Linked DNA regions of Sus scrofa. The protein of the gene in region 1 interacts with the protein of each later gene in a pairwise test. Links are inferred from orthologs where the notes say so. Each region holds a gene or a part of one and is shown in the gene's direction. Other genes may lie near its edges.

Evidence for each region.
Region 2: the proteins of KRT40 (region 1) and WT1 interact in binary tests that used the Homo sapiens proteins (3 or more experiments, as listed by UniProt). The two-hybrid records come from large-scale screens. The link is inferred for Sus scrofa from reciprocal best matches to the Homo sapiens genes KRT40 and WT1.
Region 3: the proteins of KRT40 (region 1) and SH2 domain-containing protein 4A-like interact in binary tests that used the Homo sapiens proteins (3 or more experiments, as listed by UniProt). The two-hybrid records come from large-scale screens. The link is inferred for Sus scrofa from reciprocal best matches to the Homo sapiens genes KRT40 and SH2D4A.

Annotation. Positions count from the first base shown.
Region 1 is NC_010454.4:21,478,998-21,484,307, forward strand, and holds the start of KRT40 (keratin, type I cytoskeletal 40), read left to right. Parts: upstream 1-1,727; 5' UTR 1,728-2,900; coding exon 2,901-3,335; intron 3,336-4,587; coding exon 4,588-4,670; intron 4,671-5,077; coding exon 5,078-5,234; intron 5,235-5,310. UniProt on the Homo sapiens protein: May play a role in late hair differentiation.
Region 2 is NC_010444.4:28,448,979-28,453,755, forward strand, and holds part of WT1 (Wilms tumor protein homolog), read left to right. Parts: intron 1-2,366; coding exon 2,367-2,456; exon of another isoform or gene 2,457-3,040; coding exon 3,041-3,133; intron 3,134-4,777. UniProt on the Homo sapiens protein: Transcription factor that plays an important role in cellular development and cell survival. Recognizes and binds to the DNA sequence 5'-GCG(T/G)GGGCG-3'. Regulates the expression of numerous target genes, including EPO.
Region 3 is NW_018084867.1:17,962-22,438, reverse strand, and holds the end of SH2 domain-containing protein 4A-like, read left to right. Parts: intron 1-401; coding exon 402-513; intron 514-2,461; coding exon 2,462-2,667; 3' UTR 2,668-3,188; downstream 3,189-4,477. UniProt on the Homo sapiens protein: Inhibits estrogen-induced cell proliferation by competing with PLCG for binding to ESR1, blocking the effect of estrogen on PLCG and repressing estrogen-induced proliferation. May play a role in T-cell development and function.

The DNA of each region.
Region 1 (5,310 bases):
AAAGTCACTTCACAAAAGAAGATATCCAAATGGCCAATAAATACATGAAAAGTTGCTCGACATCATTAGTCAAAAGAATGTAAATTAAACTGTAACACTTAAACGTGACCCAAAAAATCATTTTAATTATAAATGTCTGACAATACCACATGTTGGTGAAGATACGGAGGAACTAAATCTCTCAAATGTTATTGTCAAGAATGTAAAATGGTATAATTATATTGGGGGAAAATCTAGTAACATCCTTTTTGTAAAATTGTTTGGCTGTGTCCACATTATGCAGAAGTTCCTGGGCCAGGAATTGAACCCATGCCACAGTAGTGACCTGAGCCTCAGCAGTGACAATGCCAGATCCTTAACCCCTGGAACCTATGGGTGGACAATCAAGACGTGGATTATTTTTTCAAAGAAACTTTTCCTTTGACTCTAGGTCACTGTGGGATCATAACTTTCCTGTGGATATTTATAACTTTCAAGTATGTTTTTGAAACTTTGAACTCATGTCCTTTGCAGAACTGCATCTTATACCATTGGCACACTAAGAATTTTAAGCACAAGTGTTGAAATATTAAGAGAACTACTAAAATCAAACCCAACTCTGCTCAGAGTTCCCACTGTGGCTCAGTGGTAATGAACCTGACTAGTCTCTGTGAGAATTTGGGTTCCATCTCTTGCCTCACTCAATGGGTTAAGTATCTGGCATTGCTGTGAGCTATGGTGCAGGTCGCACAGTCAGCTCGGATCCCACTTTGCTATGGCCGTGGCATAGACTGGCAGCTCTAGCTCTGATTCAACCCCTAGCCTGGGAACTTCCCTATGCCATCAGTGCGGCCCTAAAAAGAAAAAACCCAACTCTGCTCAATGAATAATAAGTCATAAGAGACTATTTTAATGCATTTATTTAAGATTTCTAGGTTTGGCTTTGGTTATTTGTTTATTTTTGCTATCAGCTACCTAAGGAAGTAGTGCTCAGAATTAGAAAAAAACTGTTTATTCTAAATCAAGAAAATATTAATGTTGTCAGAATAATTGTTTTTTTCCCATAAAGATTTTAAAGATTCTGCAGACAAATTATTCTGTACATTTTTAAGGAAATAAATATCACAATTAAAGCCAAGAAAAGTGAAAAGTGAAGATAAAATTTAAGAGAGAATCCTGAAAACTTACATCTCAAATACCTATCCATTTGGTACCACAAGAGATTTCATCCAATGGAACTGCTGGAACTCATAGAATTTTATTCATAAGTTCCAGTATCTTTAATTTTCATGCTCTTGGGAGCTTCAAGATTAAATAAATTAGTAAAAAAGAGAAAAGAGGCTCCATATCCCAGAAGAAAAGCCTGTTTCTTCCTTGCCCCTACTCTGAAATGTAATTTAATTAATGAGGGTTTAGTTTCCCAAGAAACTAAAAGATTATAAGAGAGTTTGTATTTCATTTCTATTAGAGATGCAGTTTAAAAAAAAAAAAAAAAAAAACCACCGTATCCCTGATAGGAAAACGAGGCATTAGAAATGTGGAGACGGCAATTTTCAGGAAATCAAAGATGACAACTTCAGGAGTTCCTGTCGTGGCGCAGTGGAAATAATCCAACTAGGAGCCATGAGGTTTCGGGTTTGATCCCTGGCCTCAGTCAATGGGTTAAGGATCCAGTGTTGCTGTGAGCTGTGGTGCAGGTCACAGATGTGCCTTGGATCTGGCTTGTCTGAGGCTGTGGCGTAGGCCAGCAGCTACAGCTCCAACGGGACCCCTAGCCTGGGAACCTCCCCATGCCATAGGTGTGGCCCTAAAAAAGAAAAAAAAAAAATCAAATGATCACAACCCCATAACTTGATAACCAATTTATATTTTCGGACTGGAGGGCAAAAATTAAGCCCATCCATTATGTAAAGTGACTTGTCAATTTGCACCCAAGTAGGTATGGTTCACATACACACTTTAAACCCAGTACACACCTCACTCCTTTACCATGTGAGCACGGCGAGACCACAGAAAGCATTGCAAGGACTGCAAACCACACAGGACACTTTTATGGTGGTGACACAAACAAACAAGGGGCGCTTAAATGAGTGATATCACTTATAAGTGGAATCTTAAAAAAGATGCAAATGAACATATTTGCAGAACAGAAACAGACTCACAGACTTTGAAAACAAACTTGTGGGTACCAAAGGGGATAAGTGGGGGCAGGGAGGGATGGACCAGGAGGTTGGGATGGGCAGATGCACCCTGAGGTATATGGAATGACTGGCCATCGGACACCTGCCATATAGCATAGCGAACTCTACCCGGTATTCTGTAATAATCCATGCGGGGAAAGAACCTGTAAGAGAATGGATGTGGGCACGTGTATAACTGAACCGCTTTGTTGTCCAGCAGAAATTATCACAACCTTGTAAGTCAACTCTACCTCAATAAAACCTTAAAAAAATGAAAAAATGACTTGTAATATTAATTTTAAAAGAAGACATAAACCATTTTCAAGGCACAGGCTCAAAATCTGTGGGAATATTATTTTCCTTATGCCCAATCAATTGTATCTATAATTACTGATTGGCCAAATTTTCCCTTTTCTTTCCTTATTTGGTCAAAAGGAAAGTATTTCCTATGAAGATTTTCTGAAAAAAAGCATTTTTATCCTCCCGGCACATGGCAACAGTGTCCTTATTTAGCAACTTGAAGTTATGCCTGTTTTATGAGGCATAAAACTCTTCTTCAGCAAATAAACAACACTAATGAGTGTTCATATGAAAACTGGCACCGGAAAACATCCGGTGCTTTGCGTGCTTTGCGTAAATACCCATTTGGGGGCTGATATAAAAGTCTCCGGAGAGAAGGAGACTTTTGGAGGCAGGCAGCTGGAGTTTTGCAACTAGTCTCTGCCCTTCTCGTCTGATAGGATGGCTTCTGACTGTTCCCCCTCCTGCTGCTCTTCTGCGTCGAGGGCCGGGGCTTCTGATGGCGCGATTGCTTCAACCGGTCCCGTGGACGCCACGTGTCTCCCCAGCGCCTGTGCCACCTCCAGATGCCACACTCCCAGGTCCTGTGCATCAGCTGGTTGCCTCAGGCCGCGCTGCTTGGCCGGGAGCTGCCACGCTCCGTGCCTGGTGGGGAACTGTGTCTGGGGTGAGGATGGCGCGTTCAACAGCAACGAGAAGGAGACGATGCAGTTCCTGAACGACAGACTCGCCAACTATCTGGAGAAGGTGCGCGGGCTGGAGGAGCTGAATGCGGAGCTGGAATGCAGGATCCGGGAACAGTGTGAAGAGGACGCCCCGTCGGTGTGCCCTGATTATCAGAGTTACTTCGACACCATTGAAGAGCTCCAACAAAAGGTCTCGTATTTCATCGCCCTGAAGTCCCACCTTCCCAGTCTGTGACTTGCTTTATTTTTGTTCTGCTAGAGGCTGTTCTGTGGCAGGATACCAGGGAAAGGGGAGGGACTTCTCAGAGGTAATGCGATGCAGAGGAAAGTCAGGAGGCCTCAGCACCAGCCCCTAGGCTGCCGCTAATTACTAAGTGATCATGATAAAATAATTGACCTCTAAATTTACCTTTATCAGCTAGGGAAGGAGGAACAACAGTGTTATATCGAGAAGGACTTCTGTGTGACACACTGTACGTGTACACATGTACGCGTTTTTTTTTCTTTTTTGTCCCGTCCCACCCCCGCACACGGAGTTCCTGGACTGGGGATCAGATCTGAGCTGCAGTTGTGACTTAACGCTGCAGGTGCAGAAAATGTGGGATCCTTATCCCACTGTGCTGGGCCAGGATCGAACTTTCGTTCTAGCAGTCCAGAGCCTCTGCTGAGCCCACTGAGCACAGCGGGAAATCCTGTATAGTATTTTTAACGCAGATATTGAAATGTCTTTTGGAAGGGGCATATCTGCAGCATGGAGAAGTTCCCGGGCCAGGGTTTGAACCCATGCCATGACAGTGACAATGCCAGATCCTTAACTGCTAGGCCACCAGGGAACTCCCAAAATGCCATCTTTTTAATCCTATAATTTCACCTAGTAATTATTTCCCTTTATTACTGATGAATTTTTTATTATCTTGGATGGTACTATAGTCGTAAAACAAACTACTTCTGGAGAAAAACCTAAGTGCCAAGGGATACTGCAAAATGTCTTAGGTTGGAGTTCCTGTTGTGGCTCATCAGGTTCACGTGACATGGTATCCATGAGGATGCAGGTTCAATCCCTTGCCTCACTCAGTGGGTCAAGGGTCTGGCATTGTCACAGCCTGGGTCACAGACGTGGCTTGGATCTACTCTTGAGGTGGCTGTGGTATTAGCCTAAAGATGCAGCTCCAGTTCGACCCCTGGCCCTGCCTTAGGTGTGACGGTTAAAAAAAAAAGTCTTGTGTCATTAAAAAACTAAACCTTTTTATTTCTCCATTTCATTTATAACTGGTGCTCCTTTTTTTCTTCACAAAGTGACACGGTTAATAAAAGCAGCCTGAAAGCTACTTTATATTTTCTTGTAAAACTTTAAAAGATAAGTGATGCCTTAGTGGTTAAACAAGTAGATACTTGGGTTTCTTTTCACAGAACCACTTATGACATAATATCTTGCTTCCCAGATCTTGTGTACGAAGGCAGAGAACTCAAGACTTGCTGTACAGCTTGACAACTGCAAACTGGCTGCCGATGACTTTAGGTCAAAGTAAGGTTAATTTGAATTGGAAAATAATTTACGGTTGCCTCTTTCTCTCCTTCTCTCACATAGCTCCACACACACCACTGGTATTCTCTACATAATATTTTTTAAGCCAGAAGTAATTGTGAAATTTCCTTCTGTTTTCATCTCTAAGCAAACCCTATAAAATATGTGCTATGAAAATGCTTCATTCTGTGTAAAGAAAACAGAAGAAAATTCCAACCCCCCTCCCCTCCAAAAATATATATATATAAAGCGAAGAATGCTCACGCAGCTTGAATTTTCATTATTTGGGGAGTAGAAGGAGTCACGATATGTGGGTTCCTTGGGTCCACGCGTCAGTCATTGGTAGGCCCAGCGCTTTGCGCAGTGTCCAGCGGGGTAAGCACCGGCTGTGTCTCTTGCTGTGAAAGGTACGATGCTGAGCTGTCCCTCCGCCAGCTGGTGGAGATGGACATTAGCGGCCTGCGTGGGATCCTGGGGGAGCTGAGCCTGTGCCAGTCTGACCTGGAAGCTCATGTGGAGTCTCTGAAGGATGATCTCCTTTGCCTTAAGAAAAACCATGAAGAGGTGAGGAAAAGGGCAAAATCCCTGAACGGCTCTAAGAGGGGCACAGTTAAACTGACAGAACCCGTGTTGTGTATAT
Region 2 (4,777 bases), on another chromosome or scaffold:
ATTTAGTAACCCAGAAATCCCCTTCTTGAAAGAGTGCAATCTTCTTGAATTAATTTTTTTTTTTTTTGTCTTTTTTGTTGTTGTTGTTGCTATTTCTTGGGCCGCTCCCGCGGCATATGGAGGTTCCCAGGCTAGGGGTTGAATCGGAGCTGTAGCCACCGGCCTACGCCAGAGCCACAGCAACGCGGGATCCGAGCCGCGTCTGCAACCTACACCACAGCTCACGGCAACGCCGGATCGTTAACCCACTGAGCAAGGGCAGGGACCGAACCCGCAACCTCATGGTTCCTAGTCGGATTCGTTAACCACTGCGCCACGACGGGAACTCCTTTTTGAATTAATTTATAATAATAGTACAGACTATTTTACTAAGTACTTTGATATTAAATACCTTTTATGGGAGTTCTAACATGGCGCAGTGGAAATGAATCTGACTGGGAACTATGAGGTTGCGGGTTCGATCCCTGGCCTTGCTCAGTGGGTTAAGGACCTGGCATTGTCGTGAACTGTGGTGTAGGTCGCAGACATGGCTTGGATCCCATGTTGCTGTGGCTCTGGCGTAGGCTGGTGGCTACAGCTCCAATTAGACCCCTAGCCTGGGAACCTCCATGTGCTGTGGGTGTGGCCCTTAAAAGACAAAAGACAAAAAAAAAAAAAAATACCTTTCAGGTGCCAAATTCTCTACACACATTATTTCATTTAATCCTCATTCGCAAAAGTCATCAGATGGATAGGATGTAAGGAAGCAGGACTCAAGCTCATGCCTTTTAACGCCACGTCACAAGCCCCTTTCTCAAAGAGTCTATGGTCTGTTTTGGAGCCAAGACATAGCCACATGAAGAGGGACGGAGAGAGCGTGCGATACTGTAGTGGCTCTGGAGGAGCTGAGAAGAGCCGTTCAGAGGATACTGTTTTGCATGAGTGTCATTCATTTCTTGGGAGAGGAAGGGCCCAAGTTAACCATCAAAATGTTAGCAGGAGCAGGCAGAGGTAGTAAAGGGTGAGCAGAAGCAGAAAGGCGGGAAAAGACATGAGACTGCTGAACAGGAGCATTGCTTTTCTCCAGGTTGCAGAGGCGCAGTGTAAGGCACTGAGCCGGATATATAGAGAGAGTTAAGGAAAGGTGTCTGCCCTCAGAATTTTCCAGCCCAAGGCACAAGGTAGACCTGGACACAGCCCCACGTTAGAGGTTCTGTAAGAAAGTCAGTGATGAGGGAAGAGGGGGCGTTCAGTTCGAACATGAGGTTTCCAGGAAGGCATCACAGAGGAAGCTGCATTTGTGAGGGACCTGAGCAGGCTTTTTGACAGGTAGGAACCCAGAGCCAGAGATGAAGGATGTTTAGTGGGAGCAGAGTTCGAGGCCGATGGCGGGAATGGTGAGCGCCATATAGCAGGAATTCAGATTAATCAGGGAAGCAGAGGAGGTCATGCATGGAAGGGTAACCAGGAGCTGCCTGGCAGCGGAAAGCGCCGGCCGGTCCTGGGATGGCTCGCTCTCCATCCCAGATGCCGGTGACTCAGAATTCTCATAAGGGGGTGGGAGGGGCCAGGGGCGCCCAGTGCACTCATGGGGCGCAGTTCCCAGGCTTTGGCTGAACTTTCTCCAGCAGGGACGGGGGCGGGGCTTCTCCCTTCTGAGGCAGGAGGTTGTGTAATCCGGCTCCACTTCTCTCAGGAGAAGGGATACCGGACACTCAACAGGCTCTGGCTCCTGGGTTAACTCGAGCATCTCACAACCATGGCACCATTTCTGCCTGACTCAGGAATGGGAAGTCAGTAGCAGGGAACACCAAATCTTCAAGCCATGAGACACAAATCGCTTACTTCACAGGGCCAGCTCCAGGGCACATCCATCCGGGAATTCTGCCTTGGACTCAGCCTAAGAGTCAAGACTCCTTTAGTTTATAATTGTTGAAATATTTCTGCCAGTATTTTTTTGAGCGAGGCACGGGGCTAAACCCTTTATGTGGATGGTCTGTTGTAATCTGTTTATAAATCCTCGGAAGTTGTTGGATTATGGGCCCCATTTCATAGTAAGGAGATGGCACCTCGTTCAGCCCTGTGAGTGCAAAGAGCTGGATGTGACCCCAGTGTCAGACTCCAGAACCTGAGTTCCCTTCACTTCCAACTCGGCGGTAAGGGACCGTCCTTATTCACCTAGCCCTCTGTTCCACACCAACTGTCTGTGAGTGTATATACCAGTAGGTCTTTCACCTCACACTGCACTTGGCAGCACATCCCTAAAAACCTCCAGCAAAGTGCCGTTAGCATTTGGGAGATCCCTTCAGTCTCAGTAAGAGAAGTTGCCTCTAATGAGATCCTCATTTTCAGTATCATTTTCCAATGGCATATGTGTCTTCCCCAAGGTGAGAAACCATACCAGTGTGACTTCAAGGACTGTGAGCGAAGGTTTTCTCGTTCAGACCAGCTCAAAAGACACCAAAGGAGACACACAGGTTTGTAGGCTCGCTTCTCGTTGCTGGCAGAGTGCTGCCTTGGGTCATGGTTGATCTGTGATTCTCTTGCTTGTTCAATATGGAAGGGAGAGGGTCAGCCATTTGTTTAGTTTCTGCAATAATTCCCCCCACCCCAATCTCTGGGATGACTTTCTCTTAAGAAAAAGAAGAAGAAAGGAAAGAAAAGGAAACATTCCACATTTTTGCTGCAAACCGCAGAACCGTGATAATTTGCTGGTCATACACTGAGTGTCAGTAAAGAACCCGGGCGGAGGAATGCAAAAGCCCATTTGTAGCGTGTGATTCACTTTTTCAGTCTCAGACACAGCTGAGACCTCGGTGAGAAGCTGGACATTTGTGGTTAAGCAATCATTGTTCCCAAGACTACAGGTCTTCAAGGATTACTGTGCAGAATCAGGTGGTTCCTGCCGGGCCTGGGGGACTGGGGAAATCTGAGGGCGAGGCAGACGTTGCAGGCGTGGCTGGAAATGCCCAGCTCCTGGGGCCTCCAGGAAGCAGGTCTTGTGGGCCTCGCTGTGCTCCCCACGGTTAGGGCCGCGGCTAGACCTTCTCTGTCCGTTTAGGTGTGAAACCATTCCAGTGTAAAACTTGTCAGCGAAAGTTCTCCCGGTCCGACCACCTGAAGACCCACACCAGGACTCATACAGGTAAAACAAGTGCGTAAACTTTTCTTCACATTTATTTTTCATTATTTTTTAATCGACTGTTGAATGGGGTTGCTTGTGATGAGAGAGATTGGAAAAGAATGAGTGTAAAAGTTCTAAGGAGGTTTAGATTCAGGGGAGAGAAAGAACAGTGCATGGCTATCTTTAAATAATAACATTGTTTAAGAAGGAATGGGAGTGGGGGGTACAGAGCAAAAGAGATGTGAAAAGAACTCTTTTCGTGCATGTCCAGAATGAAATGAAGAGATAAGCTCGGTCCCTGCCGTTCCCAATTTGTTGCATCACATTTTTTTATCACTGAGTCTGATAGGATCATCAACCTTACAGAAAAACAGCAGAAATTTTAGCAAGCCAAACCCTTATTCTCCTGAAAGCTCACATTTTATGACACTGTTTTCAGAGATCTGGATCCTTGGCTCTGCTCCCCGGGAGCAGTCATGGTTTCTGCCAGGCTCATATTGGTGTGAGGGCATTATTTCTTTCATACTAGAATAGAGAAGGGAATAGGGCATATATTCACTGGCTGCTGCAAGTTTTTGCTTCTCCACAAGGTTGGTGTGATTCACAATGAAAATAGCACCATCTTTGTTGTGTATTTTCTAGCTTTGGAAGGCGGGCCAGTGCTTAGGTTTTCTCATCTTACCTTCACAACATCCTTGGGAAAAGAGTAGAGTAGGAACCTTTTATCCCCATTGTACAGATGAGGAGACTGAGGCACATAGTGATGCAATGACTTTATCTAAAGTCACAAAACTAGGGAGTAGCAAACCCGGTCTGTCTGCCCCCAGCCTGCCTACCCACTGCGTTTTTTGCTGGAGAAAGAGCCTGGGTTCACCTTGCAGCCCAGGGAAGACAGACAATAAAGACCCAAGATCAGCAGAGTTTAAGTCCATCCAGAGACTGAGGAGAATGGAGACCAACAGGAGGAAGGGTGGGGATTTGCCCCTTAGGAGGTGACCTTGGACAGTGTGGCTGGGGGGAAGAGTGGGGCACCGGAGCCAGCTGAGGAAGAGCAGACCAACAGTGAGTGGGAGGTGAGGGAAATGCAAGGACCTGAACCCTGTGCAGCCCCAACAGGCTGTATGTACAGACAGTCGAGGCACCTGTGCCCCAGAGCTGGTGGGCTGGGCATCTTGTTCCTCTGCTCAGGTGCCTTTGGTGTCACTTCTTTGCCTTAATCCTGAGCTCATAATTTGGTGGGAAAGAGTTATCTCCCCTTGTACCCCACTCCCGCCCTGTGCTTTTCTGTATATGTACAAAGTGACGCATGTCACCGGCAGATTGCTGAGGCCTGTATTTGATTGCTCTCCCCGCCCCCCACCCACCACCTGGTTCTGACCCTGGGACAGTGCCTCCCCTGGGCCATTTCTCAGTGCTTGTCCCATCCGGTGGTTCTCAGAGAAGGCAAAGTGTGGGACAAGCCATATCCCGAGAAGATCCTCTGCTGGCACAGGCATTGGCTCCTGTGACATTTTTACTTAGGATAAAGCCATGGCTGTGTGTCCATTATGCTGAGAGGAGGTGAGATGCAGCAAAGTGTGTGGACTTTGGAATCAGACAGACCTGGATGCAAGTCCTCTTGCGTCTGCCCTCACTCGTGGTCCAGCCTCATCTGTAGAATGGGGATAATAGCGC
Region 3 (4,477 bases), on another chromosome or scaffold:
TCTTTTCAAAAAACCAGCTCTTGATGTTACTGATTATTTCTAATTTTTTGGATCTCTATTTTATTTATTTTCTTTCTGATCTTTGTTATTTCCTTCCTTCTGTTAACTGGGCTTTGGTTGTTGGTCTTCTTTTTCACATTCTTTTAGGTAATAGGTTGGGTTGTTCATTTGAGATTTTTCTTGTTTCTTGAGGAAGGCCTGTATCACTATGAACTTCCCTCCTAGGACTCCTTTTGCTGTATCCCATAGATTTTGTAAGGTTGTGTTTTCATTTTTGGGCTCTCTGTTCTGTTCTATTGACTGTATGCCTGTTCTTGTGCCAATATCATGCCTAGTGCCTGTCTCCTGGGAGGAAACTATTGGAGTCCTTCACCAGTGCTTCCTTTTGTTTTTTTAAACAGAAGAAAGAGTCCGTGAAGAAAACACAAGATGAAGAAATAAAACAAATAGATGAAGAGAGAACTAAGCAGATTTACAAGAACTGGAAGGAAGATTCGGAGTGGCAGGCCTCTTGTAAGTATCCAGAAGCCTCCATAACATCACATGCTAAGCCTGTCTGTGCACTTAATAAGATGAGCAATCTAAGAAGCACTTCAAGTGGTTGTTGAGAGATGTTTTAACACTAAATTATTACTCATAGGCTATGAGCCACTGCAGAAAGGTCTCAATTCATCTTTGGAGCATCAAAATGACAATTCATCTATGAGATGGAATGATATTCAGCTATGAAGAAACATTTTGGAAGAATGTTTAATGTCCTTAGGACATGTTTATATCTTTTTTAGCTTGGAGAAGAAAAATCATTTTAAAATAGTATGAAAATGTCCCCACTTAAAAATGTCCAAGTATATAAAGGAAAAGAAGTGGAAGGTGAACATGCTGACATTTGCCTTCTTAGAGAGGCAGGATCCGAGGTTGTTTTTCTGTCTTTTCCTCAACTTTCAACAGTGAACCCATCTTAACTCTGTAATCCAAACACAGGGATGACAGGCTGGGTGTGTCAGCATCCCTCCCAAGTCTGTGGTCCAGCCCTGACTCCTGAGTTAGTGCTGCCCAGAGATAGCCCCCCTGGGGAGAGGCCAGCGCAAAGGAAGACAGAACCGAGCATGCGTGAGGATGCTGGGAGGATGAATTAGGGTTTCCATCCGACTTGGACACGGGAGCCGTAACTGCCCAGCCGTCCCTGTAGGCAGCTGGAGGAGGAGAACAGGCAGCCATGTTCGCAGATTGTTGGGAATTCCACTACATTGAAAACCATTAAAATGGCACTTTTTGTGAAATGAAAATGTTGACAAGATCCAATCACTTCTGTGCAGTGAAATCCTAGTGTAACAGAACAATAGGGGGACATTTCTTTGAAGTCATACGTAACAGGTTCTGACCAATAATTGGCCTGATGCGCAAATGCACTCAGTAAAACTTATTTTTAGGAGTTCCTGTTGTGTCTCAGTGGTAATGAACCCAACTAGTATCCATGAGGATCTGGGTTTGATCCCTGGCCTTGCTCAGTGGTTAAGGATCTGGCATTGCCATAAACTTCGGTTTTGGTCACAGACATGATTCAGATCTGGCATTGCTGTGGCTGTGGCATTGGCCAGCAGCTGTGGCTCTGATTCGGCCGCTGGCCTGGGAACCTCCATATGCTGCAGGTGTGGCCCTAAAAAGACAAAGAAAAATATTCTTAAATCCCCACATTAGTGTCCTTCTTTGTTTGGCTGCTGAAACAAAACCAGCAAAACAAACAGCCCTCTATTTTACAAAGTAACCATAAAAGGCAGACTTGGGACATGTTTATGTACCTGCAGAGGCTGGGTCTGCCTAAGAATCTTTTTTTTTTTTTTTTTTGGCTGTGTCTGAGGCAAGTGGAAGTTGACCAGGGATCAAACCTGCGCCATAAGAGCAGTCCGAGCTTCTGCAGTGACAGCACTGAGTTCTTAACCCGCTGAGCCACAAAGGAACTCTAAGAATTGTTATGTTTGGTCTGGGAGGCTCGGAGCCTCAACCAGTGGGCTCTGAGCGTGGCCTCACCGCCCTTCCAGCATCTCCACAGCCATGAGCCACTGAGGGGTTCCCAGTCTCTGCTAGTGACCCGGGGCACGAGTGTGGGGATGTAGCATTACTGCTTATTATTCCAAGAGCCCCCTGGCTGGACGCTCACACAGGCTGGGTCTCATCCACAGTCTTGGCCACTGCAGGGAATTCTCGAGCACGTGGTTCTCCTGTCCTCTTGCATCCCTTCCTCCTCCTCTTTCTCTTCCTCTCAGAAGGCCACAAGCTCCCATAGAAAGAGAGGAATCTGCCCTGGACCCCACACCCCCCCAGAGTGACAGACATCAACAGTGCTTGTTGGTTGTCACCAGAGGAGTCAGTGAGCCCAGAGCCAGCGTCTGCGGTGCTGATTCCTCCAGACACCTCTGTGGGCTGAGGAGGGCTTTTCTCAAACCTTTCGCTGTTTTCCTAGTGCGAAAATCCAAAGCAGCTGATGAGAGGAGGCGCTCCCTGGCCAAACAGGCGAGGGAAGACTACAAGAGGCTGTCCCAAAGAGGGAGAGGCAGCGAGGGGCCGCAGAGCCCCCCAGGAGGCCCCCAGAAACCCAGGAGGCCCCCGCTTCCACCCAAGCCTCAGTTCCTGAGCCCAACCGGACACCCCCACAGACCCCTCAGGTAAGGAGCCACTTGGGCAGGTGGCTTTCAGCATCAGCAGTGAAGTGGCTGCATGGGGAGTGAGGACCAGCTGTCTGCTGGTGCCATTCAAACCAGCCCCACCACGGAGGCACCTGGTCAGGCCTTCATCCCTTTTCGTCTGTACAACACCCCACTGTCACTGCCCTTCACATAGACAATAACTTTCTGAAGATGCCCAGTGAGGTCAATGAATTCCTTGCCTCCAGCTTGGCCCAACCCCAGAGGGTGGCAGCCAGCAATGGGAGGGAGTCGTGACAGGAGGACCCAGGGCTTGCTGGCTGTCATGTCATCAGCAGAGCTACCTTTCCATGGCTCAGGATTAAAGCTTTGATGGTAATTCTCATTCTGCGCTACAGAGCCAAGCTCATGGGTTGAGAATTTAGAAGTATTCTTCCCTTTTTTTTCCTTTTCCTGGCTTTTCAAAATTAACTTTTTTTTTTTTCTTTTTTTAAGGTCTCATCTGCAGCATATGAAAGTTTCCAGATTTCCAGATGAGGGGTAGAATCAGAGCTACAGCTACCAGCCTGCACGACAACCACAGCAACACCAGATCTGAGCCGTGTCTGTGACCTACACCACAGCTCACGACAACGCTGGATCCTTAACCCACTCATTGAGGCCAGGGATCGAACCTGTGTCCTCATGGATACCAGTCGGGTTCGTTATCACTGAGCCATGATGGGAACTCCAGCCAATTAACTTTTTATTTATTTTTTTTATGTCTTATTTTTTGTGATAATAATTTTCTTTCTTGGAAATGTTCTTGTTTTGAATCAACGTGTCATTTGGTGACGACGGTACTTTTGCCTCCTAGGCCGTGTGGGAATCAGTCAGAACAATTGGTTTTGGAAAATCCCTGAGGAAATATACAGTGATATCACAGCACAAAGCCCCAGCCCTATGATGACTGATTATGATTTTCTCCTTGATATTATGTGATTTTTTTTTTCATATTCTGGTATATAGAAAGATGATATTTAAAATAACCAGGAGAGGAGTTCCCTTCATGGTGCAGTGGAAACGAATCCAACTAGGAACCATGAGGTTGTGGGTTCGATCCCTGGCCTCGCTCAGTGGGTTCAGGATCTGGTGTTGCCGTGAGCTGTGGTGTAGGTCGCAGATGCAGCTCGGATCTGGCATTGCTGTGGCTGTGGTGTAGGCCGGCAGCTGTAACTCCGATTAGACCCCTAGCCTGGGAACCTCCATGTGCCACGGGTGCGGCCCTAAAAAGTAAAATAAAATACAATAAAAATAAAATTACCAGGAGAAATCAAATATTGATTCAATGAAACACAACTAAATCGTTGTCTTTTTTTTTTTTTTTTTTTTTTTTTTGTCTTTTTAGGGCAGCACCTGAGGCATATGGAAGTTCCTAGGCTAGGGGTTGAATCGGAGCTGTAGCTACTGGCCTACACCACAGCCATAGCAACTCGGGATCCAAGCTGTGTCTGTGACCTACACCACAGCTCACAGCAACACTGGATCCTTAATCCACCAAGCAAGGGCAGAGATCGAACCTGCATCCTCATGGATACCAGTCGGGTTTGTTACTGCTGAGTCACAACAGGAACTCCCCTAAAGCCTTGTCTTCTGAAATAAAACCTAAAAATCTTTCTCTGTTCAGAGTATGGAAAAACAAAAGCAAAGATCTCCCTTTGCTGGGGTCAGTAGTTATCTTCAGAGTGTTTTCCTAACAGTGATTATGACCTCAGAGGAAGGCGGGGGTGGGCCCTTTCCTCTGCTGTGATTATTTCCACTTAACTCATCTGAAAGGTTCCATTTGGGGACTTGGG